Kluyveromyces lactis: one gene and its partners. The protein of the gene in region 1 purifies or fractionates together with the protein of each later gene. This does not show direct contact. Links are inferred from orthologs where the notes say so. Each region holds a gene or a part of one and is shown in the gene's direction. Other genes may lie near its edges. The genes, in order: UTP21, UTP13, UTP20, UTP8, RRP6, ESF2 and UTP15.

The links.
Region 2: the proteins of UTP21 (region 1) and UTP13 purify together in Saccharomyces cerevisiae (affinity purification with mass spectrometry; 6 studies listed by BioGRID). This does not show direct contact. The link is inferred for Kluyveromyces lactis from reciprocal best matches to the Saccharomyces cerevisiae genes UTP21 and UTP13.
Region 3: the proteins of UTP21 (region 1) and UTP20 purify together in Saccharomyces cerevisiae (affinity purification with mass spectrometry; 3 studies listed by BioGRID). This does not show direct contact. The link is inferred for Kluyveromyces lactis from reciprocal best matches to the Saccharomyces cerevisiae genes UTP21 and UTP20.
Region 4: the proteins of UTP21 (region 1) and UTP8 purify together in Saccharomyces cerevisiae (affinity purification with mass spectrometry; 3 studies listed by BioGRID, with this or other methods). This does not show direct contact. The link is inferred for Kluyveromyces lactis from reciprocal best matches to the Saccharomyces cerevisiae genes UTP21 and UTP8.
Region 5: the proteins of UTP21 (region 1) and RRP6 purify together in Saccharomyces cerevisiae (affinity purification with mass spectrometry; 3 studies listed by BioGRID). This does not show direct contact. The link is inferred for Kluyveromyces lactis from reciprocal best matches to the Saccharomyces cerevisiae genes UTP21 and RRP6.
Region 6: the proteins of UTP21 (region 1) and ESF2 purify together in Saccharomyces cerevisiae (affinity purification with mass spectrometry; 3 studies listed by BioGRID). This does not show direct contact. The link is inferred for Kluyveromyces lactis from reciprocal best matches to the Saccharomyces cerevisiae genes UTP21 and ESF2.
Region 7: the proteins of UTP21 (region 1) and UTP15 purify together in Saccharomyces cerevisiae (affinity purification with mass spectrometry, with the first as the bait; 4 studies listed by BioGRID). This does not show direct contact. The link is inferred for Kluyveromyces lactis from reciprocal best matches to the Saccharomyces cerevisiae genes UTP21 and UTP15.

What each region holds. Positions count from the first base shown.
Region 1 is NC_006038.1:252,565-257,246, forward strand, and holds the start of UTP21 (rRNA-processing protein UTP21), read left to right. Parts: upstream 1-1,882; coding exon 1,883-4,682. Other genes in the region: inositol polyphosphate kinase VIP1, read right to left, coding at 1-1,340. UniProt on the Saccharomyces cerevisiae protein: Involved in nucleolar processing of pre-18S ribosomal RNA and ribosome assembly.
Region 2 is NC_006042.1:1,222,933-1,227,349, forward strand, and holds UTP13 (U3 snoRNA-associated protein UTP13), read left to right. Parts: upstream 1-1,245; coding exon 1,246-3,690; downstream 3,691-4,417. Other genes in the region: KLLA0_F13222g (uncharacterized protein), read left to right, coding at 1-701; RSA3 (Rsa3p), read left to right, coding at 4,030-4,417. UniProt on the Saccharomyces cerevisiae protein: Involved in nucleolar processing of pre-18S ribosomal RNA.
Region 3 is NC_006041.1:1,543,464-1,548,239, reverse strand, and holds part of UTP20 (Utp20p), read left to right. Parts: coding exon 1-4,776. UniProt on the Saccharomyces cerevisiae protein: Involved in nucleolar processing of pre-18S ribosomal RNA and ribosome assembly.
Region 4 is NC_006041.1:412,717-416,774, forward strand, and holds UTP8 (Utp8p), read left to right. Parts: upstream 1-1,466; coding exon 1,467-3,410; downstream 3,411-4,058. Other genes in the region: KLLA0_E04621g (uncharacterized protein), read left to right, coding at 1-462; SYF2 (Syf2p), read right to left, coding at 561-1,226; KLLA0_E04687g (uncharacterized protein), read right to left, coding at 3,462-4,058. UniProt on the Saccharomyces cerevisiae protein: Involved in nucleolar processing of pre-18S ribosomal RNA. Also has a role in nuclear tRNA export. It acts between the steps of tRNA maturation/aminoacylation and its subsequent translocation out of the nucleus.
Region 5 is NC_006040.1:112,975-117,550, forward strand, and holds RRP6 (exosome nuclease subunit RRP6), read left to right. Parts: upstream 1-1,738; coding exon 1,739-3,973; downstream 3,974-4,576. Other genes in the region: PHO80 (Pho80p), read left to right, coding at 1-929; IZH2 (PAQR-type receptor), read left to right, coding at 4,495-4,576. UniProt on the Saccharomyces cerevisiae protein: Nuclear-specific catalytic component of the RNA exosome complex which has 3'->5' exoribonuclease activity and participates in a multitude of cellular RNA processing and degradation events.
Region 6 is NC_006039.1:1,673,034-1,676,027, reverse strand, and holds ESF2 (RNA-binding ATPase activator ESF2), read left to right. Parts: upstream 1-1,310; coding exon 1,311-2,192; downstream 2,193-2,994. Other genes in the region: KLLA0_C18887g (uncharacterized protein), read right to left, coding at 1-645; putative GTPase NOG2, read left to right, coding at 2,562-2,994. UniProt on the Saccharomyces cerevisiae protein: Involved in the small subunit (SSU) processome assembly and function, and in the 18S rRNA synthesis. Required for the early cleavages at sites A0, A1 and A2. Stimulates DBP8 RNA helicase ATPase activity.
Region 7 is NC_006042.1:1,275,205-1,278,926, forward strand, and holds UTP15 (snoRNA-binding rRNA-processing protein UTP15), read left to right. Parts: upstream 1-1,327; coding exon 1,328-2,890; downstream 2,891-3,722. Other genes in the region: AIP1 (Aip1p), read right to left, coding at 1-768; SLD2 (Sld2p), read right to left, coding at 3,040-3,722. UniProt on the Saccharomyces cerevisiae protein: Involved in nucleolar processing of pre-18S ribosomal RNA. Required for optimal pre-ribosomal RNA transcription by RNA polymerase I together with a subset of U3 proteins required for transcription (t-UTPs).

The sequences.
Region 1 (4,682 bases):
TCAGTAATATATCTAATTTCCTTTCCGTGAGTGTTTCTGCGCACAATACCATCGACTACAGGGGATTTTCTGGTTTCAGCATGACAAAAAGTTTCACCTACAGTGTATGCTTTCACATCTTCGAAATTATCGGTATCCATGAATTTTTCGTAGATGTATGAACCTTCAGTACGAGGTTGAATCAAAGTAGGGTCAAATTCGGAAGATTTATTACCGACCTTTCTGAATAATCTACGCCCACCGCCTCCGTTTTTCGAATGATAATAGATGTATATATTGTGATCTTCACCATCCACAGGTTTTTCAACGAATGGTTTGGTCATCACCTTACCCTCAACTTCCAAGGTGTCATCGTCCACCATTCTCCAGTTGGGTTCTTGAACAGTTGAAACAATAACTCCACGTTCGGCAAGCATAGATTTCAGTTCATCATCAATTTTGGGACCACCATCTCTTGTAATTTCCAATCTAGGAGGGGTAGGTACGTTGCTTGCCGCCAGCAACCTGAGACACAACCTTCTATCCCACAATACTTTTTGCATAATCAAATCATTAATGATATATGGTTTTCTTAACTTGACATATTTGATAGCCTTTTCTAGAGGGAACCCATTGGAAAAGAATGATATTAGAAAGTCGCAAGTAGGCCAGTTTTCAATGCTTTCATCCAATATAACTTTATCGCCAAAAATTATAGTCTCAAACTCACCGTGTTCAATTAGTCTGTTTAAGATATGTCTGCATGGCTTGGATAACACTTTCGCATCCATGGCACAAACACCAATTTTACCAATCTTTGGTAGCTGAGGCTTGGACGAGGAAGTTGAAGCTTTCCTCGAAGAATTTGTCGAACTTGGAGTTGTTGATCCGTCAGTGTTGGTTGTGACAGCTTCATTAGAGACTAATGCTTGCGGAATGAAGGGGAATGCATGAGGTTCTTCCAGCATAGGAGATGGACTAGGCGATCCTTCCAGAATAGCAGAAACTGATGCTGATCCACTTTGGTTACTTTTCAGTCTTTGAAGCTTGTTACCATTCATGCTATCGAATGAGGTGCCTAGGACACTGGGAGTCATATGACGACCTGTCGAACCAGTAGAAGAAATACTAAGCGTTCTGACGAGCTTATTTGTCTCATCATCATCATCAGAGGTAAAACCAGCAGGTGGCAACTTCAACGACTTATTCTCACTAGAAGAGGTCTTCGGCGTGAACCCTTCAAGGATAGGAGCGATCGATTCCATAGCCTTTTTCGTATTCGAATCTAAAAACAGTGGAGGCATGGTATTTCCGTTGATTGCCTCTTGACCCTCATCAGAAATTGAACCTGGAGAAGACATGACTGGCAGTTCTGCAATTTGATTATAACCAATGCTGAAACTTCAGTTAAAATTATTTTGTAGATCGTTGCAATTAATCGATTTCTGTTATAAGCGGATGCATGGTACGATTATTCCCCATGTGTTTAATTTTGTATATAAATTTATATGTGAAGGATAATAGTGAAAACTTGATAGAAAACTGTGAGTAATTCTGAAGTAAAGACCAGTATCTAAGCAACACCTCCATGTGTTTCGCTAGTGAGATTTCAGACTGTGGTATGGTTACTATCTAATGGCATCTAATGGTGAAGTTACATAGTATCTTCTCTATCCAAGTCTAAGAATCACATTTGCAGGTTGATCCCCCTTATGTGTCACGTGATATTCTGATTTCTTTTTCTGTTTCAGCGATGAAAATTTCGAAGCTCGACGTTTTAAAGAAGCGATGAGATGAGATGAGATGAGATAGATACCTATCGTCAGCAGCTAATTACTGGATTCGCTTGTTGTTCAGTTAATTAAGCGATTGCATAAAGTCACAGAACAGTGCATTAGCAATCATGACAGTGGATGGATCGTTAAAGAAACGAAGAGTTGGTTCTTCCGGCGCTGTTAGGAAACATGCTTCCAGAATATTTTCTCCGTATAGAATTGTAGGTAATGTATCTACTGGAGTTCCTTATGCGATTGGTACCCTAGGTACGACCTTCTACATTGTGACTTCTGTTGGTAAGTCGTTTCAGATCTTTGATGCCAATAATTTGCATCTGCTATTCGTTTCAGATAAGGAGACAGAGGGAGACATTACTTGTTTGGCAGCGCATTTTCATTACGTTTATGCAAGTTTTAAGAATAAAGTTGGGATCTATAAGAGAGGTAAGCTAGAACATTTGATTGAATTACCTGATCCAAATACCGTGGTGACCAAAATTAACGTTTTCGGTGAATATTTGATTGCTTCTACAGATAATAATGTTGTTTATATCTATAAGAAAAATTCCCCATCTGATAAATTCGCTACTGAATTATACACCAATTTCACCATTGGTAAGTTACAAGGTGGTGATATTGTTGATTTGGTGCATTTACCAACATATGTTAACAAGTTGCTCGTTGTGACTAAGTCTAATTTCACCTTGTTTAACGTTCGGACCGGAAAACAATTGTACACTTCCGATGAGTTCCCCGATGAGATCACCACTGCTGAACCTGCACCTGCTTTAGACATCGTTGCCTTTGGTACATCATCTGGTGAAGTTATTTTATTCAATTTGCGTAAGGGTAAGAAAATCAGAACCATTAAAACGCCGACGAGAATTTCTTCAATCTCTTTCAGAACGGATGGTGCTTCTCATATCTCAGTAGCATCAACCAGTGGTGATTTGATCTTTTATGACTTAGATCATCGCTCACGTGTTCAAGTGTTAAAAGGCATTCACAAGGAAGTGAATGGTGGTGTTGCAAGAGCATCATTCTTGAACGGTCAGCCGATCGTTGTCACTTGTGGTGGTGACAACCAGTTAAAAGAGTTTGTTTTCGATCCATCCTTATCGCAAGGTGACTCTGAAGTGGTCATTCAACCAGCCAGATTATTAAGGTCAAGAGGTGGTCACTCTCAACCTCCATCCTCTATTGCATTTGCTGACGATCAATCTCATTTCATTCTTTCTGCTTCAAAAGATAGATCTTTATGGGGGTTTTCCTTAAGAAAAGATGCACAATCGCAGGAATTATCGCAGCGTCTGCATAAGAATAAAGATGGAAATAGGATTGGTGGAAGCACCATTGGTGAGAAGTTCCCTGAGATTACATCAATAGTCATCGAAAATAACAGACAAGGCCAATGGGAAAACATCTTGACGGTTCATAAAGGGGAAAAGTTTGCAAGAACATGGAACTCGAGAACAAAAAGAGTTGGTAGGTGGACAATCCCAACTAATGATGAGGGGTTTGCGAAGAGCGTAGCTATATCACAATGTGGTAACTTTGGTTTAGTTGGCTCTTCAAACGGTGGTATTAGTGTTCACAACTTACAAAGTGGACAGAAGAGAAAGGTTTATCGTTTACATAAGAAGGCAGTTACTGGTATTGCAATGGATGGTATGAACAGAAAGATGGTGTCATGTGGGTTAGATGGTATTGTCGGATTTTATGACTTTTCCAAAAGCACTTTTTTGGGAAAGTTAAAGTTGGATTCACCTATAACATCAATGGTATACCATCGATCATCTGACCTCTTCGCATTAGCATTAGATGACCTTTCCATTGTTGTCGTAGATTCGGTTACTCAAAAAGTGGTCCGTCAACTCTGGGGGCATTCCAATAGAATTTCATCATTTGACTTCTCACCTGATGGACGTTGGATCGTTTCTTCGTCATTAGATTCCACAATTAGAACCTGGGATTTACCAACAGGTGGATGTATAGACGGTATGAAAGTGGAAAATGTCATCACTAACATTAAATTCTCACCAAATGGTGACTTATTGGCTACCACTAGTGTATCTGGTAATGGTATTTCCCTCTGGGCTAATAGAGCTCAGTTCATTTCAGTATCAACCAGACAGATCGACGAAGAAGAATTTGCCACTGTTATGCTTCCAAACGTTTCCGGAGATGGTGGTTCCAACTTTTTGGAAGGGGCTTTTGATACAGAGGAAGATGATTCCGAAGATCTCTTTGGTAAATATGACTCGATGGAGCAAATTGATAAAGATTTATTGACTCTTTCTTTGGGACCAAGGAACAAGATGAATATCTTACTCAATCTCGATATAATTAAACAACGTTCGAAACCAAAGGAGGCTCCAGTTAAACCAGAGCAGGCTCCATTCTTCTTACAACTTGCAAAAGATAAGGTGGGCGATGAGGCTTCAGCCAGGGAAGGCGCTGAGAATTTGAGTTTGGATTCCTCTAAACTACAACAGGAGCGAAATGCTGCCAAAGCTAATGCTGCTAGTGAACTGAATAAATTCAAACCTTCAGGAAAACTTGGTGCTCAGTTCGAATCTGATTTCACTAAGCTACTTAGAGAAGGTTCGCAGAAAAACGATTATTCAGCATTCCTTGACGAATTAGTCCAGATGACTCCCTCAAATATTGATTTGGAGATTCGTTCTTTGAAAGCTTTTCAACCATTTGATGAGCTATGTCGGTTCATTGAAAGTTTGGCTCAAGGTTTGGCTACCAACAAGAACTTTGAGTTATATGAGGCATATATTACCATCTTATTCAGAGTGCATGGTGATGTAATTCATTCTAATAACACAAATCAAAATATCAAGACTGCTCTGCAACATTGGGATACCAATCACCGCAAGGGCCAATCATTGGATGAATTGGTAAAATTCTGCGGCAGCG
Region 2 (4,417 bases), on another chromosome or scaffold:
AAGAAGACGAATACATGCTTCCTGTGTTTTCAGCACGCAAGTTCCCAATTGGTTACGTTGGTAGTGAAAGGACTAGAAGGAAGATCGATAAGATGAAGGAATACCAAAGAAAGAAAGATGAAAAGCGACGGAAGATAAAGAAGAAAAAGAAGCTCTTGAAAATCAGAAGGGAAAGGCAAAGAATTGAAAAGCAAAAATTGCTCACTGCTCCTGAACAAGAAACTGAAACTGAACCCAACGCAGATTCTCACAACAACATTCAAACTCCCTCTAGCGTGAATTTGGCTAGTCCAAGTTCAAGTGTTTTCACCGATGCAGATGCTGGAAACACACCTAATGATTTCAACGGTCTGGTTTTACCAACGAGGAAGAATTCTGTGAAGGGATTAGGAATGGATGAAATTGATCAACTGCTGAAATCTGATGATGATTTAATACTTTCTCATCATGGAGATGAAGATGGAGATATTGATCTATTAGGCAGTGACGATGCAGATCTCCTGGTTTCTCTGACTGCCCCGATTGAAGAAATTGATTTTAACCATGAACAAATGAGCCATGTTGCCGCATGGAGAAGAAGAAACAGTATCGCCGAAGCTGCTGCTGAACATATGAGAGTAACCAAGAATGGACTTTTCAGTGAGACGGCGCTAGCTGATCTGGAGGAAATCATCGGAGGATCAACAGAACTCCCAAGTTAACCCTCATTTTCACTTCCTTTGATTTTATTTTTTATTCCTTGGTTTTACCACTGCTGCTGATGCGAAACTACTCGACTAAAGCATAACCATAAACTACAATTATCTGTATTCTACCTACTACACTTTCTTGGATATAATCTACATAGATATCATTCTGTGAAGCTCTATTCAGCTTCACCATTTTTTCCGTAAGAGGAGTGTTGTACTTCTCTCATAAATCAACAATTAACTTTAAAATCATATCCATTAGAATATTAGCAAATATTTAGCAAATATGTGTAAGTGCAAATAAACATTGTCTAAAGACCGTTCCCGGTTTTCAGCTCCTTTGTATATGTTCAATCTCTTTCTGTTTCAAGCATATGATAACCCATGCCTCATTGTCTACGTTTTTTTCTTTTTTTTGTTCAATTCGAATGTTGAAAAGTTTAATTCATCTCATCTCATCTCATCGCATCACAGAAATATGCTAGGTGAACCAATAAGATTATACCTGGCCAATTATTAGCACCCAGGACAGCACCTTGGATCTCCCACTCGCACAATGGATTTGAGAACTACCTATGCATCCACGAAACTAGAGCCGTTTTATGCTGGTACTGGTGCTATAGCATCTGTTTCTGAAGATGGACGATTATTAGCGACTTCGGTCGTCGATAAAATCAACATTGTTAGCTTAGATAGCCCACGCCGAGTGTTGCATTCTGTTGATACTGAGGATGAACAAGACATCACCGCATTGCATTTAACTCCAGATGGTTCTTATTTGTGTTTTGTCTCACAAGCGCAGTTGCTCAGAGTGTATTCTTTGAAACAAGAAAGAATTATCAGATCAATGAAGATTTCGTCACCGGTGTACGTCATGAATTGCGATCAAACATCTACACTTTTGGCTATAGGTGGTACTGATGGTAGTGTTAGTGTTATTGATATTGAAAATGGATATGTCACGCACTCTTTGAAAGGACATGGTGCTACCATTTCAAGTGTAAAGTTTCACGGTGAGTTGAACAGTGAAATTTGGAAGCTTGCATCTGGTGATACCAACGGTATGATTAAAGTCTGGGATTTAGTTAAACGTAATTGTCAATGCACTATTCAGGAACATACTACAGCTGTTAGAGGGCTAGATTTCCGTGTCACTGATGAAGAAAAGGGAACGCTGCAGTTATTATCTGGTGGTAGAGACAATATCTTAAATCTCTTCGAGTTTAATTCGACGAAAAAGTATAAGCTACTGAAGACCATCCCTGTCATAGAACAGGTGGAATCGTGTGGATTTACGCAGGACCCGGATGTGGTTTACTCAGCCGGTGGTGGTGCCATTTACCAATTAGTGTCCTTGTCAACAGGAAGAGTATTAAAGAAAACAGCAAAACCTATTGAAGAGCTATTTATTATTGGTACACTATGTATCCTGAACGGAACTAAGCAGTACTTGGTATTTTCAGATCAAACTTTGTTCCTAATAGATGTTGAATCAGCTTTACAATCGGAATCTGAAGTAATTGAAGTGGAAAATAAGATTGCAGGTAATCATGGTACCATTGCAGATATAAGATTCGTTGGTCCAAAACGGGATAAATTAGCATTAGCTACTAACTCTCCTACTCTTAGAATAATTCCAACCCCAACTTCTTCGGAGGAAGAGTTCGAAAATGGGGAGAACAAAGAAACATTTCCTATTGAAGTAAAGATGTACGAGGGTCATACGGATCTACTCAACTCTTTGGATGCCACCGCTGATGGTCTCTGGGTTGCTACAGCATCCAAGGATCACAGCGTTATATTATGGAGATATCATGCAAAGTACGAAGACTTTTATCCATACACTAAATTTGTCGGTCATGTAGGTTCTGTGAATGCTGTTGGACTTCCTAATGTTATGCCACGTTCATGGCCTGAATTCATAATTACAGCTTCTAACGATTTGACCATAAAGAAATGGAAGGTTCCTAAGGTGACATCTGATGAACCCGAAGATCTAATACTTGTTAAGACCTCAGAATATACCAGAAGGGCGCATGAAAAGGATATCAATGCTATCTCCATTTCACCTAATGATTCTCTATTTGCCACGGCTTCATACGATAAGACATGTAAAATATGGAATTTGGATGATGGTGAATTCCAAGCCACATTAGCAAACCACAAACGTGGTCTATGGGACGTTGCATTCTGTCAATATGACAAGTTATTGGCCACATGTTCCGGTGACAAGACCATCAAAATTTGGTCCTTAGAATCATATGCCGTCGTAAAAACTTTGGAAGGACATACCAATGCAGTTCAAAGATGTTCCTTCATAAACAAGAACAAGCAACTGATAAGTACTGGTGCTGATGGTTTAGTTATTATTTGGGATCTATCAACTGGTGAATCGGTCAAGACACTAGATGCTCACAATAACCGTATCTGGGCTCTTGCTGTTATGAACGATGGTGAATCCTTCGTTACAGCAGATGCTGACGGCTTCTTTGAGTTCTGGAGGGATAACAGTGAAGAGGAACACGAACGTAACCTCGAGCAAGAGAAACTGAAGATTGAACAAGAACAATCATTACAAAATTATCTCTCAGAAGGTGACTGGACTAACGCATTTTTGCTTGCCATGACCTTGGATCACCCAATGAGATTGTACAACGTCTTAAGACAAAGTGTAGACAACTCAAATGAGGATCCAAATGTAGTTTTCAACAACGAAATTGACGAGGTTGTGTCGACTCTAGATAAAGATCAACTTCTTCTTTTAGTGAAAAGGTGCAGAGATTGGAATACAAATGCAAGAACACACACAGTAGCCCAAAAGATGATAAGGTGTATTCTTCTAAGACAAAATATTGAAGAGTTGAGCGAAATTCCTGGGCTTGTAAGGATCGTTGAATCAATAATCTCATACGCAGAGAGACATTACTCAAGAATGGATAACTTGGTTCAAGAAAGTTATATCTTAGATTACGCTTTAGTTCAAATGGACAAATTGCTATAAAGAATGTAAATATAGCACTAGTCGTCATGTAGATATATACATATAACAGTACAACACACCCACCGCATCAACTCTGAATAGATACCATATCCAGTCAAGGGCCATCCATCAGTAGAATAATAAGTTTGTTACCCGGCTTTGAGTTTTAGACAGAATTTGTTTCCCTGCAAAAGAAACTTCATCAAATAACTAGACGATGTGAAGCGATGAGATGAGATGAGATGAGATCGGCTCTCATCCTTCTTCTGTTAAAAGGTGACTTCAACTGTGAATTTTTGACAGTTATACTTTAAAGTTAACTCTCCTCCATATTAACGAGAAGCTCTATCGGAAACTATCATGTCAGAGGGACATATTGCAGCTATTAGCAAGACGAACAAGAGGAAGAACAGAAGAAAGAAGAGAAGAACGCAAGACGTGTCCGACTCAAGTTCTGATTCCAGCTCCGATTCTGAAAATTCATCGGTAGAAGATAATGATACTAAGCTCGAAACTGTGGAGAAAGCTGCATCTGATGTTGAAGATGTAACGCTTTCAGATATTGACATGGATAAAGAAGAAGATGAAGCTGCATTGGACGATAAAAAAGCCAGCCGAAAAGAGGGAAGCGTCTTGTCCTCGGAGACTGTGGACAAATTAAATAAAGTGGGACTAACAACAAGCGATTTAACTGGCAACAATGGCATTCATCTAGGGAATATCGATTTGAATAAGATGTCTGCTACGT
Region 3 (4,776 bases), on another chromosome or scaffold:
AATGAAGAAGAATCTGAAGAAATTTTTATCACAGAAGATCAACCAAGTATGGATGTACTAATTCCAACAGCATCACAATGGACTGAAAGTGATAGAAACCTTTTATTAAAGCTCGTTGGCAAATTCAAAAATATCAAATCCATTTACAAATCAGAGGAAGTGCACGATAGGTTAATGGCACTTTTGAGCAGCAGAACTACAGAAGTTCAAAAATTAGCTTTAGATGCGTTGTTTTGTTACAAGGAATCTCATATAACCAAGTACAGAGAAAACTTGAAGAACTTATTGGATGACACTTTATTTAAAGATGAAATTACCAAGTTTTTAGCAACCGATGACACCAAAACTATCCAAAAGCAAGATGAAGAAGCTGTTATGGGTTATATTGTGAGAATTCTCTTCGGCCGTGTTCAAACCCCAAATACAAGTGGTCTCAAGAAGAGCAGGAAAACTGCAGTAATCACTATTTTGCCTAGTTTGGAAAACCGCTACATTATACAGTTTTTGCAGCTCGCCACGGGAAAGTTCAAATATGAATACTTCTTTGAGAATGGGAATAAAATTGACCTTACTTATGCGACTTCTCTGACCTTAAGAAAGATGCTTGGTTTCATCAATGTCGTTAATTCGTCATTGGCAGTGTTGGGTTCCCAATATCCCGACGTGATGAAAACTGTTATAAGGCCTCTAATATATGCTATCAACATGTCAAACTTTATTGTTTCTGAAAAGTCCGATGAGCAATTTGTCGAAAAGGTAGCATCTAACTTGAGGCAAATAGGACATAAGTGTTTGCATAATCTCTTTAGTCAACTAGGAGACGTTTTGGATTGGAGGCCTTTTACTGCTGACATATTCAATAATGTGATTACACCCCGTCTAGAGAAATTTGAAGATGAGAACTTGCAACAGGTATCATCTGTCATGAAAATTATTACATACTGGGCTGAACAAAAATCACTCTACAGTTTCCTATACTTTGATGATTTGTCTGCTGTAGCTGCCTTGATGAAAACATTACAAAATTCAAATGCAAAGGAGTCTGTAGTGGGTGTGATATTGAATTTCTGTAATAAGATAATCAATAACCCTGACCAGGACCCAAAGTATGTTGAGCTAATCATTATGATAGTTACGATTTGCTTGCAGCAGTTGCCTGTGCTACTACAAAGGTGCACGGAAAGTACTGTTATTTCTGCTGCAGTAGACTTGTTGCTAAATATCACCGAACTTGGTTATGTTGAAGATAACGAAACAAGAGAATTGTTGGTGGGTTCATTGACTCAAGCATTGCAAAAAGATCTCTCGCAATTCACTGTGAAAGATAAAGTGAAACTTTTGAAGACATTATCAACTTTGATGGATAATTTCGACTGTTCGTTTTCACAAGTTGAACCATTGTACATTGCCGCATCTAAATTATACAGATCTTATTCTGATAAGGATCTCAGACAGGCATTGAACAATATTTTTGTGAGCATTGGTGCGAGGTTCAACGAATATGAGGCTGTTGGGGCGCTGTTGGCTGATTTAAATTCGTATTCGACCAGCAGAATGAGAGAATATGACTTTGAAAGAAGATTACCGGCATTCAAGCGCTTCACAGAGAAAGAATGTGACTCTTACACAGAAATGCAATGGTTGCCTGTAATCTACTCATGCTTGTTTTTCATCAATGACACTCAAGAATTAGCTATTAGAACTAATGCTTCTCACACATTAAATCGATTTGTTGATTGTATGAACTCAAAGCTCTCAGTTGAAGATGCAAGTGCATACATAGACATAATGAAAACCATCATTTTACCAAATATCAGGTCAGGTTTAAGAAAGAACATTGAAGAGATTCAAAATGAATATATCTCTCTCATTGCTTATATTGTCACAAACTCTCAATATCTGTTTGAAATTGAAGATATGAAAGTTCTATTACACAATGGTGATGAAGAAGCTGATTTCTTCGTTAATATAAACCATATTCAGTTGCATCGTCGTCAAAGAGCTGTCAGACGTCTAAAAGACTATGCTCCAAAGCTTTCTGACAACAGTATTTCGCACTACTTAATTCCTATGGTCGAGCGCTATGTTTTCTCTACCGAAGAGAAGTACAGAAACATTGGTAACGAAACCCTTATCACTATCGGTACTCTATCGAACTATATGTCATGGAACCAATACAAAGCCTTATTCAGAAGGTACAGCTCTATGTTGAAGAAGAATACTGAAAAACAAAAGGAAGTGGTTTCCCTTCTTGTCAATATTTCTGTTTCCTTAAAGAACTCTTTACAAGCAATGAGAACTGGAGATGAATCCCTACCAACACTCAGAAAGTTCCCAAAAAGCTATCAAGAACCGGAAGCTTTCATAACAAAAGATATCTTCCCTAGCTTGAGTAAGATCTTATCGACTAGAGATGACGAAACAATTGTGTCTAGAGTTCACTTATCAGAAGCATTAGTGAACCTCGCATTGGGCTTGGAAAAGGATGACACTGCGGCACTTTTGCCTGGTATTTTAACCAGTGTATGTCAGGTTTTACGTAGTAGATCGGAAGAATTGCGTGAGGCAGTGAGAAAGAACTTAGCAAATCTTACTGTTATACTAGGCCCACAATACTTATCTTTCGTCATCAAGGAGTTAAAGTCAGCTCTTACCAGGGGCTCCCAAATCCATGTTTTGAGTTATTCTTTGCATTTCGTATTGATGTCAATCTCTGAAACCCTTGTTCATGGTGATCTTGATGAATCTGTTGGTATGATAGTCGATGTTATCATGGAGGATATTTTTGGTGCTGCTGGTCAAGAAAAGGATGCAGAAGGATACACATCCAAAATGAAAGAAGTCAAATTTAATAAAAGTTATGATACCGGTGAATTGGTAACATCCAACATCACCCTCCCAATGTTTGGGTCGTTATTGCGCCCTGTCAATGTATTGTTGCATGAAAGGCTTGCTCTAAAATCGCAAAACAAACTCAATGAATTATTAAGAAGGTATGCCTTGGGTTTGAATCATAATCAAGAAGCGTCATCTCCAGACGTTCTCAAATTGTGCTATGAGATATTTAATCAATCTCACTCAGACAAGAGTAATAGACCCAATAAAGTCAGAACCACTAAAGATGAGCGTGCAGATTTCTTTTTAGTTGATCTTAACTTTAAATCAGGCACTGTCCAGAACGATACAACTATTTACGCTCATACTTTGCAAAAATTCTCCTTAGATCTATTGAGAACGGCTGTTACCAAAAATGCCAACCTAATGGAAGTTAAATATCTACAGCCTTTCATCCCATTAATGAAAGAAACTCTTGTATCTGATAACGAGGGTGTTGTCATGGCTACTTTACGCCTTTTGACTATAATAATTAAGTTGGATTTCGAAGAAGAAGCTGAGGCTATATTCAAAAATTGTGCCAGAAAGGTCTTAGAAATTGTCAAGAATTCACCATCAACATCATCAGACTTGTGTCAGATGGGCCTCAAATTTTTATCAGTCATGCTCCGCCATAAAGATATTCAATTGAAAGATACTGCCCTGGGTTACTTGTTAGGACGTCTCCAACCTGACTTGATGGAACCTAGCAAACAGGGGTTGGCGTTCAACTTCGTCAAAGCCTTGCTATCAAAGCACATAGTACTTCCAGAACTTTATGATGTTGTAGACAATATTGCGGAAATCATGGTTACAAATCATTCTAAGGAGATCAGAGATGTTGCCAGAGGTGTGTACTATCATTTCCTTATGGAATATGATCAGAGTAAAGGAAGATTAGAAAAACAGTTCCGTTTTATGTTGAACAACTTGCAGTATCCATCTCAGGAAGGTCGTCAATCAGTCTTAGAACTCGTCAACTTAGTCATTAACAAATCTGGTGCAGAACTTGTGAAGAAAATTTCATCATCTTTCTTTGTTTCCTTGGCGAACGTTTGCGTCCAAGATGATGCCCCGAAGTGTCGTGAAATGGCTTCCGTTCTTCTTGCCTCACTCTTTGAAAAATTGGGGAAAGCAAATGTAAAGGAAATCGAAAAGTTCATTACCGCGTGGTTAAAGCAGGCTGACAATGAACAATTTTTGAGTTTGGGTTTAAAGATCTACAAGATTTACCTGAATAAACTTGGAGCTGGAGTAAACCCTTCTCTTGACACATTAGCGATAACTCGTGTGAAGTCTATTATTTCCAATACAAACGTCGGATCAGATTCTTCATGGGACCTCGTTTATACCGCATTATCTGTCTTCACTGTTTATGTTGCTAAAAATGAAGGCCAAGCATTCAGTAGCGAATTTGATGAGACCTGGAAGCAAATTGCCAACTGTCTGTTATACCCTCATTCTTGGGTTCGTCTCTCGGCTGTTCGTCTCGTCAATCAATTGATTAACAATCTTTCCAAGCTTGAGGCTCCATTGGATGACTATCAAATTCAAACGATCGCATATAGAATTTTCCGTCTGTTGGGAGCACCAAAATTACCTGAAAACTTGTCGTCAGTTGCTGTGAAGACTCTTCTAGTTATAATCATGAAATGGAATGAAAATAATACGCCGTACATTCATAATTCAGAAGAGAATTCAGTGTCCAGATATTCAAACGCGATAGAGTTTGCCATTGCTAGAACTGGTTGGATAATCAGAAGTGAGGATAATCCAAACGATTCTCATAATTCGAAAAAAGCTGCCATTCAGCTGGCTGCATTAACCATGCAGATTTTGAGCAGCGAAAGATTGTCAGAAGAGGCAGAAAAATTCATTATGCCATTATACATGTATGTTGAA
Region 4 (4,058 bases), on another chromosome or scaffold:
GAGTTCAACGCCAAACTATCTAAACTTATTGAAACTGATTTCAAGAAAGGTCACGAATTGCGCGCTAAGGTTCAAGATGCAAGATTGAACTTTGATACTTTACGTCATGAAATTAAATTGAAGCTGCAGGAAAAAGAGGTTGTAGCATCCTCTGAGGAAGCTGAAAAAAAGGTCGCAACTGAAACCCCTGAAACCCCCGAAAAGAAAACCAATGAGGAACCAGTTGATATGGCAAAGACAGAAGAAGATCCTGATTCTAAGCTTTTCGAACGATTAGAAGATCAGTTCGTGTCTGCAACCTCAGAAACTGTGGAATTCTTGGGAGAACTTACAGATAGTTCTGAGATCATTTCTTTGGTTAAGTTGTTCCATAATTTCCAATTGATCCATTACAAGCAATGTGTCAAGAGCTTAGAAGAAGATCTAGAAGTCCTTAACTCACTAGATTCTGAAGACAAATGAAGAAATCCACCTCTATATATCGTTAAAATAAAATAATTATTCATAATCAATCGTAAATATCTCATATGTAAATGCCCAATATACCTATTTTCCCATGCCTATTTGAACTCGCTATTCAATTTTGCATTAAACCGTTTATTCTTGTCATTAATAAATCCATCATCCAAATTGATCTTATTTTGTTTATCTAGTTTTTGTTTCCGTACCATATACCTTTTCTTTGATCGTTCGTTCAAATCATTCACCATTTTTTCTACTAGTTCAGGATTATCTTCTACTTGAACCTTCCCATCCTCAGTTATTCCACCTTTCAACGGATGTGATATATCCTTCGGAAGCGCATCTACTTCCTTCTTGTAGCTGTTCTTTGCTATAGTTTGGAAGTCCCCCATCACGCTTTTATTATGTCTTGAATTCTGTGTCTTAGCTTCCCATTTTTCATATTCGCGTATTGAGTAGTTTGCCAATTTTATCGGATCTTCTGGTTCGCTTTTGTTACTTCTAGCTTTATCTTCGCCATCGTCAGCCATACTGTATACTCTTCTTTCAGAGTTTTTCTTCTCTTCAGCTATTATGGCCTTCTTATTCCTTATACTTACTTCCACTTTTTGTTTCCGCAAACTCTTCAACTTTTTTTCAATTTCCATTAGATCATTCATCTTCGAATATTTATTATCAGCCTGTGTCCAGTTTACAATGTGATTTGTGGCATTCAAATAAGGGCTACACTTTCTGTCACCTGGAAGATATCTGAGTATATTCATCGCATCTCATCTTGTTTCTGTTTGCATTTCGACACTATATATTACCCGGACTGACTCCCAAAAGTAAAGTTTGAAAAATTTGAAGTACTCAGAAGAAGAGATGAGATGCGATGAGATGCGATGAGCTGTAAGTGCAAAGATACACTCAACCGCTGCTCTTGAAAGGACGAGGTGAAGTATCAAATATCCTGTGTTCAATACAGTTTGCTTTGATATTATTTATCGAAAGATATTGAGAAAATGGCATCCATCTCACAGCCTTTTAGGCTCTCTGCTCTACCTAAGATTCCATCATTGAATAATTATGCGAATCAAACAGACTACTTACAAGTTGTTGATAATCTTTCACCATCAGCCAATAAAGTGAATATTGGTATATCAGGTTCCAGTATATCACAATACTTGATTAATCCAACCCCGAAGCTGGTTTTTAACTTGCCAATCCCCTCTACGAACATTGTTACTGCATGTGACGTGGTAGAAGATGCAGCCAATACAGAAGTCTGGTGTTACGGATTGGAAGCTAGAAAGGTATCACATTTACACTTGGCTACTAAGCCGATGATTCAAGATGCCGTGTCATCTTCAAATGCTGAAATCACATCTCAGTTCAAATATAAACTAAAATCTGAAGTCGTTAGCATTAAGATCTATTCTAAAGCAGAGAAAGTTCTCGTTATCTTAAGGAATGGACTGATTCAAACATTTGATTATGAATTGAAACTTTCAAATACTATTGATATATCTTATGATGATATCAGATTTGTTCAATTCTTCCAAGATGGGCAGGGAAACGATTTCTTTTTCGTGTTATGCCAACTAAGTGATGAGAAAATCTGTTACAAACTTTTCCAAGTTAGGAGTGAGTCCGTCTCATGTATTGAACTAAATTCTATCATACTAGAAAATTACACTTTAGAGAATGCAAAGTTGTGTTTTGAGTTCGGGAAATTATATGTTTTAAAGAACTCAAATGAATTATCAATCTATCAGTTACCACATTTGCAACTACAAACTAGCATTCAGCTACCTTTCATTTCCAAGGATGCAGTTGTATCCATCAAACCAGTTTCTTCAAACCGTGTATTGTTGACTGCTGATAATACCATATATCTTGTGGATTTGTTATACAATGCTATACTATTCCAAAAGGATTTACAGAACATCAAAGCTATTCAACTACTCTCTACTGCAGTTGTTCAAGAAAACTCTGAAGACAATAGAAAAACTATAGCATTAGATGTTACAACTAAAAACGGTGCTAACCCTACGAGTTACTTGGATGTTATTAACATTGATGTTGGTACCGGTACCTTAAAAGATGCGATGGGTAAAGGGTTCATGGTTAAACAAAAGCAGAAACTACAGAAACTCTTTGAAGAAAGCAATGAGGACGACGATGTGGAATTGCCATCTCCAGACTATGAACGCATTATAAAACAACTCCATATCTGTAAAAAAATAGAGAACTTTGATTCTATATTTTTTAAGATGCTTTCCTTAGACAAGGAATATTATACAGACAATGACAGATTTTTAAATGATTCTGATTTACTCACTCAAATAATCGATTGCTTGTTTCTAAATTTCAAGGATGAATATCCAAAAGCATTGACATACCTTCTAACACACCCTTTATTCCCACCGGTTCACGCTAAGGGCTTATTAACCAAGTTGAAAAATAACCCAAGACTTTTCAAACAAGCTATTGTTACTTGTCCGAATGTTCCACTTGACGATTTGTTAACCGAGCTTTTCAATATAACGAATGCAGAGCTCTGTTTTGATATTACGCTAAGAGTGCTACAAGATTACAAGAAAGAATCAATCAAAGCAGGTATAAGAAAAATTGAGAAGATGGATATCACAAACTTTTTGGATATGATTTTGAACTCGAATAAGGCAGATTCGGACTTGAAACTTAATAAGCCACAAATCTTCCAACTTATGAGTTTAATAATAGATTCCATCGGTTTGTTTGCGTTAGACGATGAATATTTAGAGAAACTTTCCTCTTTTGTCGATGCGCAGGTTTCTGTAGTGTCACAAAACATAGAACTTTTGCATTTGGCAGAGCATTACACCAAGCATTCATCGGTTGTTAACAATAAATCTAATTCATCAACAAATTCGTCTTCTACACAACCTATTTCAGCTTACACAGTGGACTATTTAGAATGCTAATAAGTGTGTAGTATAATCATAAACATTAGAACTTTTCGTAAAATGATTTCATCAGCTTTCCATATTGAACTGGAACTGAATTACCTCTTTTGGATCCATGAAAGAGTATGTTTCACAATCCTCATCACTTTCATAAATCACATGCTCCTCGTACGTAACTCTGTTATCTTTGTCGACAAGTATGACAATCTGGGATCTAGTTCCATAGTAATCGCCTATTGGCAATGAAGTTCCAATAGCGTCTGCACCTTTAGTAATTCTTAAAGGCGGTACATAAATACTGGAAGTCGTCACAGAATCCACATCTTCGCCCTCATTAAACGTATGGTTTGATAAAAGTTCAAAACATTTCTGCAATAGTTCTTCCTTGGCAATGCCCGTAGTATTTTTCGCCAACGCATCAAGTAAAACGTACCCATATTCCGTCTTATTCCATCTACTTGTGTGTTCACCTACAGCACAGTGGAAAATGTCGTTGGATATCACCATATGCTCCATCTTTTCAAACGGATTAGTGGAATGCTTTAAGTAGTCGATTACGTTATACTCGTCCGACTTCGCATCGCCATAAAACAACGTGAACGGGCCAGTTCGTCTCAAGTTCCCATGCTGACCATTGAATTTTTCCCAAGAGTCCCAATTATCAAA
Region 5 (4,576 bases), on another chromosome or scaffold:
TATCTAGAATGTTATCCTTTTTGATTCAGATTAATGATGCAAATAACGCTGGTAATCAAACTATGGAATTGACGAGATTTCATTCAAAAGCAGCACCTTCGATCACAGTATATCAGTACCTGATACGACTCACCAAATACTCATCTTTAGAACATAGCGTTCTACTCTCGGCAGTATATTATATTGATTTGTTGTCTGCTGTTTACCCTGAATTTACTTTGAATTCGTTGACCGTCCATCGTTTTTTGTTAACGGCAACTACTATCGCAAGTAAAGGCTTATGTGACTCGTTCTGTACAAACACACATTATTCTAAGGTTGGAGGCGTACAATGCAGTGAACTAAATATCCTTGAGAATGAGTTTTTGGAACGAGTCAGATACAGAATTATCCCAAGAGATGATAATATCGAAAATTGTAAGATTGAACAAAAATTGGGCTCCAATATGCTGATACCCATGAAAAACGCTTCACAGAGAGGTCCCGACAATGGTTTCAATGTTTTACAGAATTATTACAGGAAGATTGTTCAACTCGTTGGAAATCCATTGAACTCACCGGATAAAACTTCCACATACTTCTTCAAAATGGTCGATCCAATGAATCCTGGCATTGGTGGCACCTTGGTACCGCCTAGTACAACAATCAAGAACAATCTTAAAGATAAAGGAAATGGTAGATTAAACACAAACATTATATCCACTACGGGCAGGATCGTTTCACCATCTATAACCGAGGGCGATAGCTTTAATCTGAGTGAACACCGGAAAACTCGTTCCCGAGAAACTTCTGTTAATGAGAATAGTGATTCTCCTCCGATCACCATTCCACAAAAGAGAAATATGAAGGAGGATGATCCGACCAATATGGATAGAAAGAGCACTTTGCTACGCAACGGCAAAAAGCTTTCAAGTCATTTCAATAGTTGACCTTCCTTTAATTTATTTCATTGCCAGGATGGAATCAACTTCGGATTCAATTTATCTTTCGCTGAATTTGTGAAGATGGTTGGCAAAATGTGTTATGAGTCTTTTACGATACTGAAATGGTTTCCCATTTTTGTTGATGTTCTTTTCATCGCAGCAATACTCATCAATATTCACTTCATAATGTCTAGACGGAAATTAGACATTAATTGACCCACTTTTAAGTTATTGAATCACTACCCAAGATTACAATGAAAAAGCATGTAGTATTAAAGTATAGTTTCACTACTTAAATGTTTCAGGATTTTGCATTACTTTCCTTCAATTGTGCCATCTTTACTCTTACAGGTTAGCCGCCCTATATAGCTATACTTAATTGGTTGCCATAAAATGGAGCAGCTGATGCTGTCTGCTTCTAGCGTCATTTTATAATATTGAGATGAGAGATGCTGCAACATTAGTTGAAAAAAAATCCGTACATCGTAGAGGAAGCAGAAGTTATGCAAGATTATATAGTTAGTTCTCTAGTAGCCAATTAACTTATAACGTAGCCGTTGAAAGGCAATGGCGGCGGTGGTGATACGTGGTCTGACTCTCTCTGTAATACTACCGACTCTTTGAATGAATCATTTTCATCAGTAGCAGAGAACATCTAAATTTTACCCGGATTTGAATTCTTCTGATTTCTTTTGATTAGTGAATATTTCTTCATCTCATCTCATCTGGTAGTCAAAGACAGTAATATATTGGAGGGCAGTACGATTCGCCCCGTTTTGAATCCCCCGTAGACTACCAGCTGACTCTAATCCACCATGTCTTCAGAGGATAAGGATACGTTACTTTCCAGTTTGGTTCAAACTGTGAGATCATCGAGTGCATTGGCTGCACAGGATATCGATTTCTACAAAAGTTTAGATTCCAACATTAATGCATCATTAGAAGACACTTCTACGAACATTTTATCGTTAATCAACGACTTGCTTTTGTCTATTGATCCCAATAATGATGTAATTCAGCAAGGGAAAGACAGTTTTGTGGATTCTTGGAAATCCATAAGTAATATTATGGATAATTTATTTGAAAAGTCTGATCATGCACTTGACAACATTAGAGCCGGAAATGGTGGAAACGCTGGAGGTCCATCACTTAAGTATCTAAATGATGATGATCGTTCGAACAATAAACCATCCAAGAGGATTGAAAAACCTCAACTAAGTTTTAAAACTCCTGTAGATAACACAGAACTTCATCCTTTCAAGCCATTATTGGAATACAAACCCCATAGTTTACAACCGTTCGAAATTTCATTGAAGATGGTCCCAGAAGAGGAATCCATCCCGTCCCATTACCCACATCCATACGAATATGAGATCGACCACCAAAAATACAATGACTCCATTCTTGTTGCAACAGAACCGATCCCATCAAAGGACTGGGATGAAACTGAAGCAATTTGGGTTGACACCGTTGAAGGCCTTAACAAAATGAAAGATGAATTAAGTAAAGCCACAGAATTAGCAATCGATTTAGAACATCATGATTATAGGTCTTACTATGGTATAGTTTGTTTGATGCAAATTAGTGACCGGGAGCATGATTGGATTGTAGATACTATTGCATTGAGAGAGGAACTTTACATATTGAATGATATCTTTACCGACCCTAATGTTACTAAAGTTCTGCACGGTGCATTCATGGATATCATATGGCTTCAACGTGATTTAGGCTTATATATTGTTGGCCTTTTTGATACTTATCATGCCTCCAGGATGTTAGGTTTTCCAAAACACAGTCTGGCCTATCTTCTCGAAAGATTTGCTAATTTCAAGACTTCAAAAAAATATCAACTGGCAGACTGGAGAATCAGACCGTTGACCAAGCCTATGCTTGCATATGCAAGAGCTGATACGCATTTTCTCCTAAATATTTTCGATAAATTAAGGAACTCTCTACTGGAACAGAATAAGATGTCCGATGTTTTGCATGAATCGAGAAAAGTGGCTAAAAGAAGATTTGAATATAGTAGTTTCAGACCAAAGGTTCCGTCTTCAGCAGTGTTTTCACCTATTGAAAAGGATGAACCTTGGAAGAATATTATGTTTCAGTACAATATTCCGGCTTCAAAGGAATTACTTCTCCGTAGACTTTATGAATGGAGAGATACAATCGCCAGGAGGGATGATGAATCTCCTCGTTACGTGATGCCAAACCAACTACTTGTATCGTTGGTGGCTGGTGCACCAACCGAACCCATTAACGTATTGTCTGTCAGCTCATACGTTTCAGAGCATTTAAGAACAAATTCGAAGGTCATTGCAAACTTGATCAAAAGAACTTTAGAGGATCTCAAAGGAAATTCCAACTCTTCTGCGATCCCACTTTTGGAATCGGCCGAAAGTAACGGCACCGATCTGGCCAATATAATAACAACGTCCCAAATTAAATCCATTCAGAATATATTTCATTCACTTGCTTCGGAAATAAACTCTCAAAAGCTGAATAACGAACAAAATTCAGAGAAATCTGTCCTATTCAATGGTATTTCAAACTTGGATGTGAATACTGCCGTCAGATATACACCAAAGACGAGAACGCTCATTCCACAACATGAATTATTAAAGCGTCAGCATGAAATAACAAGGACGTTAGAACAAGAATACACTGACCGACAAGCTCAGAGTATTGTGCTACCGTCAAATGAGGATGAAGCTCCTACGCAAGTATCTAACGATGAAAACAGAAATGAAGTCATCACGTCTGATCCTTCTCAGGAAGAGATTGAAGAGAACAAGGATGAAGTAATTACGTTGCGCAAAAGACAATCTCAATCTAACAACAAACGAAAGACTATCAGTCCACCTGCAAGTCATGAGATTATGGATTATGCTGCTGGCTCCGACCTATTGAACTCAACAAAGAATAATACAAACTCACAGAAGCATAAAAAAAGAAGATTCGATCCTTACTCTGTTGAACATGTCGGTCCACAGCCTATCAAGAAAAAATCAAAACCTGCCAAGGGTAAGAACGTCTCATTCAAAAGATAGAGCATCTTGAGCAGCTCTAATGGTATAAATATCGAACTAGTCATATTTACAGGTTAATTTCGCTCACTAATTCGTTTGCGTAATAGTTTTTTTCCTTAGAAATAGCTACTTCTGCCTAGGCATTGAGACACAGATTGGATAACTTGAGCTTTTCTGAGACTGCCCATAAGATCCTCCAGTTGCAAGGAGTCTTTTCACAGTAGTCAGTCTATCCTAATTTCTTCATCTATAGTCATGTGCAGTGCATCAGATTAGCCAACAGTTCTCGAAAATGTTGGAACTGACAAAAAGGAATGTTGATATTCAAATTTTGTTTACTACGCGGAATTATAAGAGTGTATAAATAAGGGTATCTCATGGCATTTAAAAGAGATTTAGCCCTAAGTAGTATATATAATGAGATTGAATTTTTAATGCATACTGCAATGAACTGCTTTGATCAAACATAAAGAGCAGAAAAATTAAACGGGTACGACTCCAAGAGCTTATCTATCCTATTATCTGAAATCCTAGTTTGAACTATGAGCACTAGAAAACGGTCCGTTGTTACTGAAGAGACCGCCCTCATCGAAGAGACCCCGGGAACGAAGAAAACTGTAAGAG
Region 6 (2,994 bases), on another chromosome or scaffold:
ACCAGATTCCTTTCTCAATTGGTTAGAAAACGCAGCAATGCTACCGATGTCCCCCAATAGAGTAGTCAACAACGCAAGTTGATGAACACCACCGTCGGACAAAAACCCACCAATGTGTTCTGGATGTTTTCTCCAACTGGTAGCCAGGTATTCACTCGATGGATAGAAGGGACCAGTGGAATTGTAAGTGAACGCAGCAATTGGACCAATCTTAGCCAATTTCTCTTTCATTATTGGCACACATTCTAAATGTAACCAATTCTCTGCGATAGCAACTGGAAGCTCGGTAGATTCAGCCAATTGAACCAATTTCTTAGCCTGTTCCAAGTTAGCTTCAATCGGCTTTTCCAAGATCACCGGTTTACCAGCTTCTACACTCTTCTTCGCAGTCTCATAGTTGAATTGAACAGGAACCATCACATCCACTACGTCAACGGAATCATCTTGCAACAAATGGTCCAAATCTGCGTAAACTTTAGACTCCTCGATACCAGCAGTGACAGCAAACGCATCTGCTTTACTCTTGGTCCTGTTGAAACATGCGACTGGTTTGAACTTATCGCTGTGCTGTTGGAAAGTGGGCAAGTGCTTGTTTCTTGCAAAGATACCGGTACCTACAATACCAACGTTTAAAGGTGCAGACATATTGTAAAATATATCGAGTGTGTGTTGTTTGTATTGGGGCGACTATAAATCAACAAGTCAAGCCAATTAGATCAAGGATACATGTGTTGTTCATCTATATCGGAAGCACTTCCCCTTTATATATCTGGATTAATCTCTCGAACGGACAAGGTTTTTCCGGTTTCTTGCCATTCGTGTCGGGTTATTATTAATCCAGTCACCAGTTGTCACAAACCGGATAACAGTGGAACGACAACGGCAATGTCAATGGCAATGAGCAATGGCAATGGCAACTCTGGTAGCAAAGCGGAGGGAACTACGCCAAGAGAGTGGGGAGGTTCCTGCTTTGACGTAGTTTTAAGCCGTTTCTATATAGAATATGTATGTAAGACCTGCACACCTCACTGAGAAAGCTGCTCAAGCGTGCAGCAAGAGCAGACATGGATCAAGTTCGCGATCTCCGGCCATACAGGCTGCAAACACCGGCTACAGACCCGTTACTTCATTGTGGTATCGGTCCGTCGTCCAGTACGATTGGTTCCCATTTCTTCTGTACAGTGAGTGCCATACTGAAAAATTTGGAACTAAAGCGATGAGATGAGATGAGATGAGATGAACCATATACATGAGAGAAGAGACAACAGACCACAAGGTTCAGCAGGTTAACTAAGGACAACAATAACACGATGAGCAAGGAGTACAGCGATGTGGATGATTTTGCGTCAGACGAAGAAGAGGACAACCAAGTGTTGATCACTGGGAAGGATGCGAAGAAGAATGTGATTCAGTTTGATCAAGAAGAGGACGAGGAAGAGCAAGAGGAAGAGGACGAGGAAGTACAGGATGAAGAAGAACCGGAGGATAAGGTAGTACAACTCACAGAACAGCAGATAGAGAAAGAAAAGCAGAGACGACTCAAAAAGCTTAAGAGCGATAAGAAGACGAAACACAAGACCGGTGTGGTTTACCTATCGAGGGTTCCACCGTACATGAAACCAGCCAAGCTAAGGCAGATTCTCACAAGATTCGGTGAAGTGGACCGTCTGTTCTTGAAACGTGAAGAGGAGCACAAGCACCAGCAGCGTGTCAAGAGTGGTGGGAACAAGAAAACGATGTTTGAAGAAGGTTGGGCCGAGTTTATCAGAAAGAAGGACGCTAAACTGTGCGCATCGACTCTAAACGGTAATATTATCGGTGGTAAGAAGGGAAATTTCTACCATGACGACGTCATGAACGTTAAATACTTGCCCGGGTTCAAATGGGCCGATTTGACAGAACAAATCGCTAGAGAAAACGATATCAGACAAGCAAAGCTACAATTGGAAATCTCACAGGCCAACAAGTTGAACGCAGAGTTCATCCATAACGTAGAGAAATCAAAGATGGTCAACAAGATGAAACAGAGCAAGAAACGTAACCAACAAGAATCACAGCAGGTCGATGAAGAAGTTCGCAGGACTTTCAAACAGAGGAAAGTCGCTTCGACAAGAGCATCTGCTCCAGATTCTCAGAGACAATCCCAACCGCAATCGAAAGCACTCAACGATGTCATGCATAGTTTATTCTAAGATGACTATATAACACATATATAAAGCATATAGCCAAGCCAAAAGCCCTACAGAGAGTACAACTCATCGCCTGCCATTCCCATGGTCAAAGATCAGGTTTCTTTTTCATTCCCATAGTGTAAGAAAAAGTGAAAAGAAAAAATTTTCCAGCTCATCTCATCTCATCTCATGAATTGGAACAGGAACAAAGGCAGGTTCATCAGTGGTTTGTTTCGATTCAGGTTGATCTCAGTCCAGGCAAGAGACATTCAGTTACTTATTCTTCCATCTGTTTGAGTTTTCGATCGAAATTGAACGTGTTCGTTACCACAAAGAACGAACAAACGAACGAACCAAAGGAAACCTAATTGAAATCTATACCAAGGCACAATGGGTACCGGTAAGAAGGAAAAGCAAAGGAGAATCCGCGAAGGTAATACCAAGGATGGTAACCTTCGTGTGAAGGGTGAGAATTTCTACAGGGACACCAAGAGAGTGCAGTTTTTGAACATGTACAAAGGTGGTAGATCTGTTCGTAATGCAAAGGGTGACATTATCAAGGCTGCTCCGTTGCAGGATACTGCTGCTCCAACAGCAAGAGTGGCTCCTGACCGTAGATGGTTTGGTAATACCAGAGTTATTTCTCAGGATTCATTGAGCCATTTCAGAGAAGCTTTGGGCGAGAACAAGCGTGATTCTTATCAGGTGCTATTGAGAAGAAATAAACTTCCGATGTCGTTGTTGAACGAAAAGGATTCCGCTGAATCTCCAACGGCAAAGATTTTGGAGACAGAGCCCTTTGAACAAACTTTTGGGCCTAAGG
Region 7 (3,722 bases), on another chromosome or scaffold:
CCATGCGACAGCAAACAAACCACCGCCAATTGGAGCCTTTTCAGACTCAATGTATTTGATAAATTCACCAGTCTTACCATCAAAGCAACATATCTTACGATCGCTACCGACAGACACAGCATATTTCCCTGCACCTGGAGAGAACTTGACGTCTCTAACGAATTTACCTTGGCCGTGATGCGTTCTATCACTGCTTGCAAACTTGAAAGGTGGACCCTGGTAAAACACAACAGAACCATCATCACTGACACTGAAAGCTCTCATTGGTCTGCTTTGCTTGAAATGAACTGCATTGACTCTTTGAGAGTGACCCGAGACTTCACCTAACGAGTTGCCCGAGTCCCAAGAGACAAACGCACCAAACCTATCACGACCTTCACCAACAACAGCCAATCTTTTACCCTCAAAATCCCAGGATATATCAGCGACAGGACCAGCGAGCACATGTAGTTCCGACTTAACGTTGTACTCAATTTCTCCAGACTTATCGTCCTGATTCCAAGACCAAACGATAACTCTACCGGAATCATCTCCTGAAGCAACATATTGAGACCCCTGGATAGGAGAAAATTTTACAACAGTGACATTACTGGTACCATGGCCATTGAATTGAACGACATGTTCACCATCTAAAGATCTAATGATGGCAGATCTACCGCTACCATAAGCTAAACTGTCAGTCTTTGGATCATATGATAAATGTGTCGTAAAGTTTCTCTTTGTAGAAGGGAGAGGTGCAAAAACCTTTGCTAAATTAATCGAAACCATATTATCGCGAGATACTAGATCAATTGACTTTTGGAACACTCTGTAAACGCACCAGAAAGACCTCTTCCTGACTCAAACGTGTCCTGTTCTCATGGTTTAGTTTCTTGATAAACTGGTGAGTATAAATAAATTCCATACATATGGAATGTAAATAGACGAAATAATAACTACTGGGATGCAGAAATACAAAGAAAAGATATCCTAAATACCAGTTAGTATAATGAAAGTGGTATTGCTGAATACCTGGGAATCAAGAAAATCTGGGAAACCAGGTTAAAAGCAGATAAAGGGCCTTAAAGGCCCTTTATCTGCTTGTAAAGTACAGTGAACGGTTATTCTTCTCTGAAAAATCACAATCAACGAGATTCTTCGAGTCTTCAAAGAAAAGAAACCAGATTTTGGAAAAAAAAAATGATTGAAGCCTTAGCTCATCGCATGGTTGATAAAATAGATTTCCCTGTAATTTGCGAGTTATATCAGTCGGTTTGGTATCGTCAGACTACTGTTAAGTGATAGAGGTGATTCAGGCGATCAGATTGGTAGAAATATTGTGAAGAAAATGTCGTCTGTGAGACCTAGAGTGACGCCGGTAAAGGCTCCTGTGTTACCAAAGCAGACCACCCCAGAGCAGAGGTACTGGAGGTCTTATTCATCTACTCAGCTTGTTAAAGAGCACAATGCAGTGACTCATATTGCCTTCAATCCCCAGCATCCACATGATTTTGCAGTTACCTCTTCTACTAGGGTACAGGTCTTCTCGTCAAGGACAAGACAAGTGATCAAGACGTTTTCTAGGTTTAAAGATGTGGTGCATTCGGCCACTTTCCGTCAAGACGGTAAACTTTTAGTAGCAGGTGACGCTACTGGGTTAGTGTCCGTTTATGATAGTTATAATCCACGTACTTTGTTGCTTTCTATACAAGCTTCGTCGCATCCTACGCATGTGACGAAGTTTCACGATCAGGATAACAAGACTTTGGTGACGGCAAACGACGATAGAGTAGTGAGACTATGGGATGTTTCTCATGCTTATGAACCCACTTTACAGTTAACTGGAGCATCTGATTATGTTAGATCAGTCTGCTTTGTGCCAAATGCTCCACATATGGTCGCTACAGGGTCGTACGATGGAGTAGTTAGATTGTACGATATTAGAACGAAATCAGATAAACCACAGACAACTTTGGATCACGGTCTTCCTGTGGAAGATATCACAGCCATATCTCCTACTCAGCTTGCATCGTGTGGTGGTAACGGGTTCAAAGTATGGGACTTGACTAGCGATAGAGCCCTTTGTGAACGTCAAAATTTCGCAAAGACGGTCACCTGTTTGAATTACACAAATATGGGAGAAGAATCACCAATGAGTTCCGTACTAGTTGCATCCTCGCTTGATGGTCATGTTAAGATCTTTTCCCCGTTGGAGAACTTCCAATTCAAGTTTGGCTGGAAGTTTAGCAACGCTGTGCTAAGTTGTGCAGTCTCACCAGGCGATGCGCAAGGTAATAAACATTTCGTTGCAGGTTTATCCTCAGGAATTCTAGCCATCAAGACGAAGAAGAAGTCCAAAAAGATTAACCTCGCTGATGTCTCTGATTTGGAGGATTTACCATTACAACAGCAAGAGAAGTCTGCGAAATCCAACAATTTCCAGAGAATGATGAGAGGGTCCGAATACAGAGGTGATCAAGAGCATATTATACACAACGATAAGCCAAATCCTCAGCGTAAGTTGCGTCAATTCGAAAGGCATATCAACCAATTCAAATGGTCTGACGCATTAGATTCTGCATTTATCCCCGGTATGGCTAAAGAATTAACTTTAACGGTATTACAAGAACTAAGGAAAAGAGGTAAAATCAAGGTTGCATTATACGGTAGAGACGAAAGTTCTCTAGAACCACTACTCAACTGGTGCTTGAAGGGAATAGAAGATGTTAGAAGTGCACCAATTGTTGCAGACTGGATTGCGGTTGTAATTGAACTCTACGGTAGTGTACTGGAGAAGTCCCCAGTACTTGAAGAGATGGTAATCACTCTAAAGAAAAGAGTAAGGGAAGAGATCCGCAAAGCAAAAGAAGCACAAAAGATAGAGGGTATGCTCCAATTGTTAACAAACTGATAAAATCCTTTCTACACTGATCTATAACAAAAAGGAATGCGTGTAAAAGATTATATTTATTTACATTTATAGTACATAGACTGCAACAACTGTATCATCCCGTTCGTTACGTCTGTTTCTTTGTTTTTAACGTTCTGACTTTGAAGAAATCACCTTCTTCCTCTCCATTTACTGGCTCTGTTTCTTCCTGCCTTTGTTGGAAGATTCAAACGCTTGAAGTTGTTGCTAACAAGGTTGTATTTACTCTTACGTTGCTTCTTCTTTACGGGTGGATTGGATTGTTGTTCAGAGTCAGACTCACTTTCTTCCACTTCTTTACCCAGCATTTTATTGTACTCACGTTCCTTCAACTTTGCTAGCTGTTCATGAACATTTTTGTCTGGAATGTTGGTCGACTTCTCGTTTAATGCTGCTGGTCTCATCTTCGCTTTTGTTCTTTTCTTTATGGTTTTAACTTTCCGCACATAATTGCTCTCAGTTTCATTGCCGACAGTTCCCTCGTCCCCCTCTTCAATTATATCCATATGTTCTTCCTGCATCAGCTTTTCCATAAGCGTTCTAATCGCAGTGAATTCGCTGAAATCTTCTGGGTTAGATTCGAATTCGTCTTTTATAATGGCATGTTCCTTCGCTAATTGGGACAGTGTCTTCACCGGCCTTTTAATCAGCGGCGATGGGCTGAAGGGAGAACTTTTCAAATCCAGGGTTCTACCAAGCGTCTTTGGTGTTTCTGACAACTGCAATCCAATATCGCCGATCCGCATTGGGGAGTTTGGTCCATATTTCGGTCTTGACACAACAATATTCGCAGATAGATTTGGAACTTGCTTCA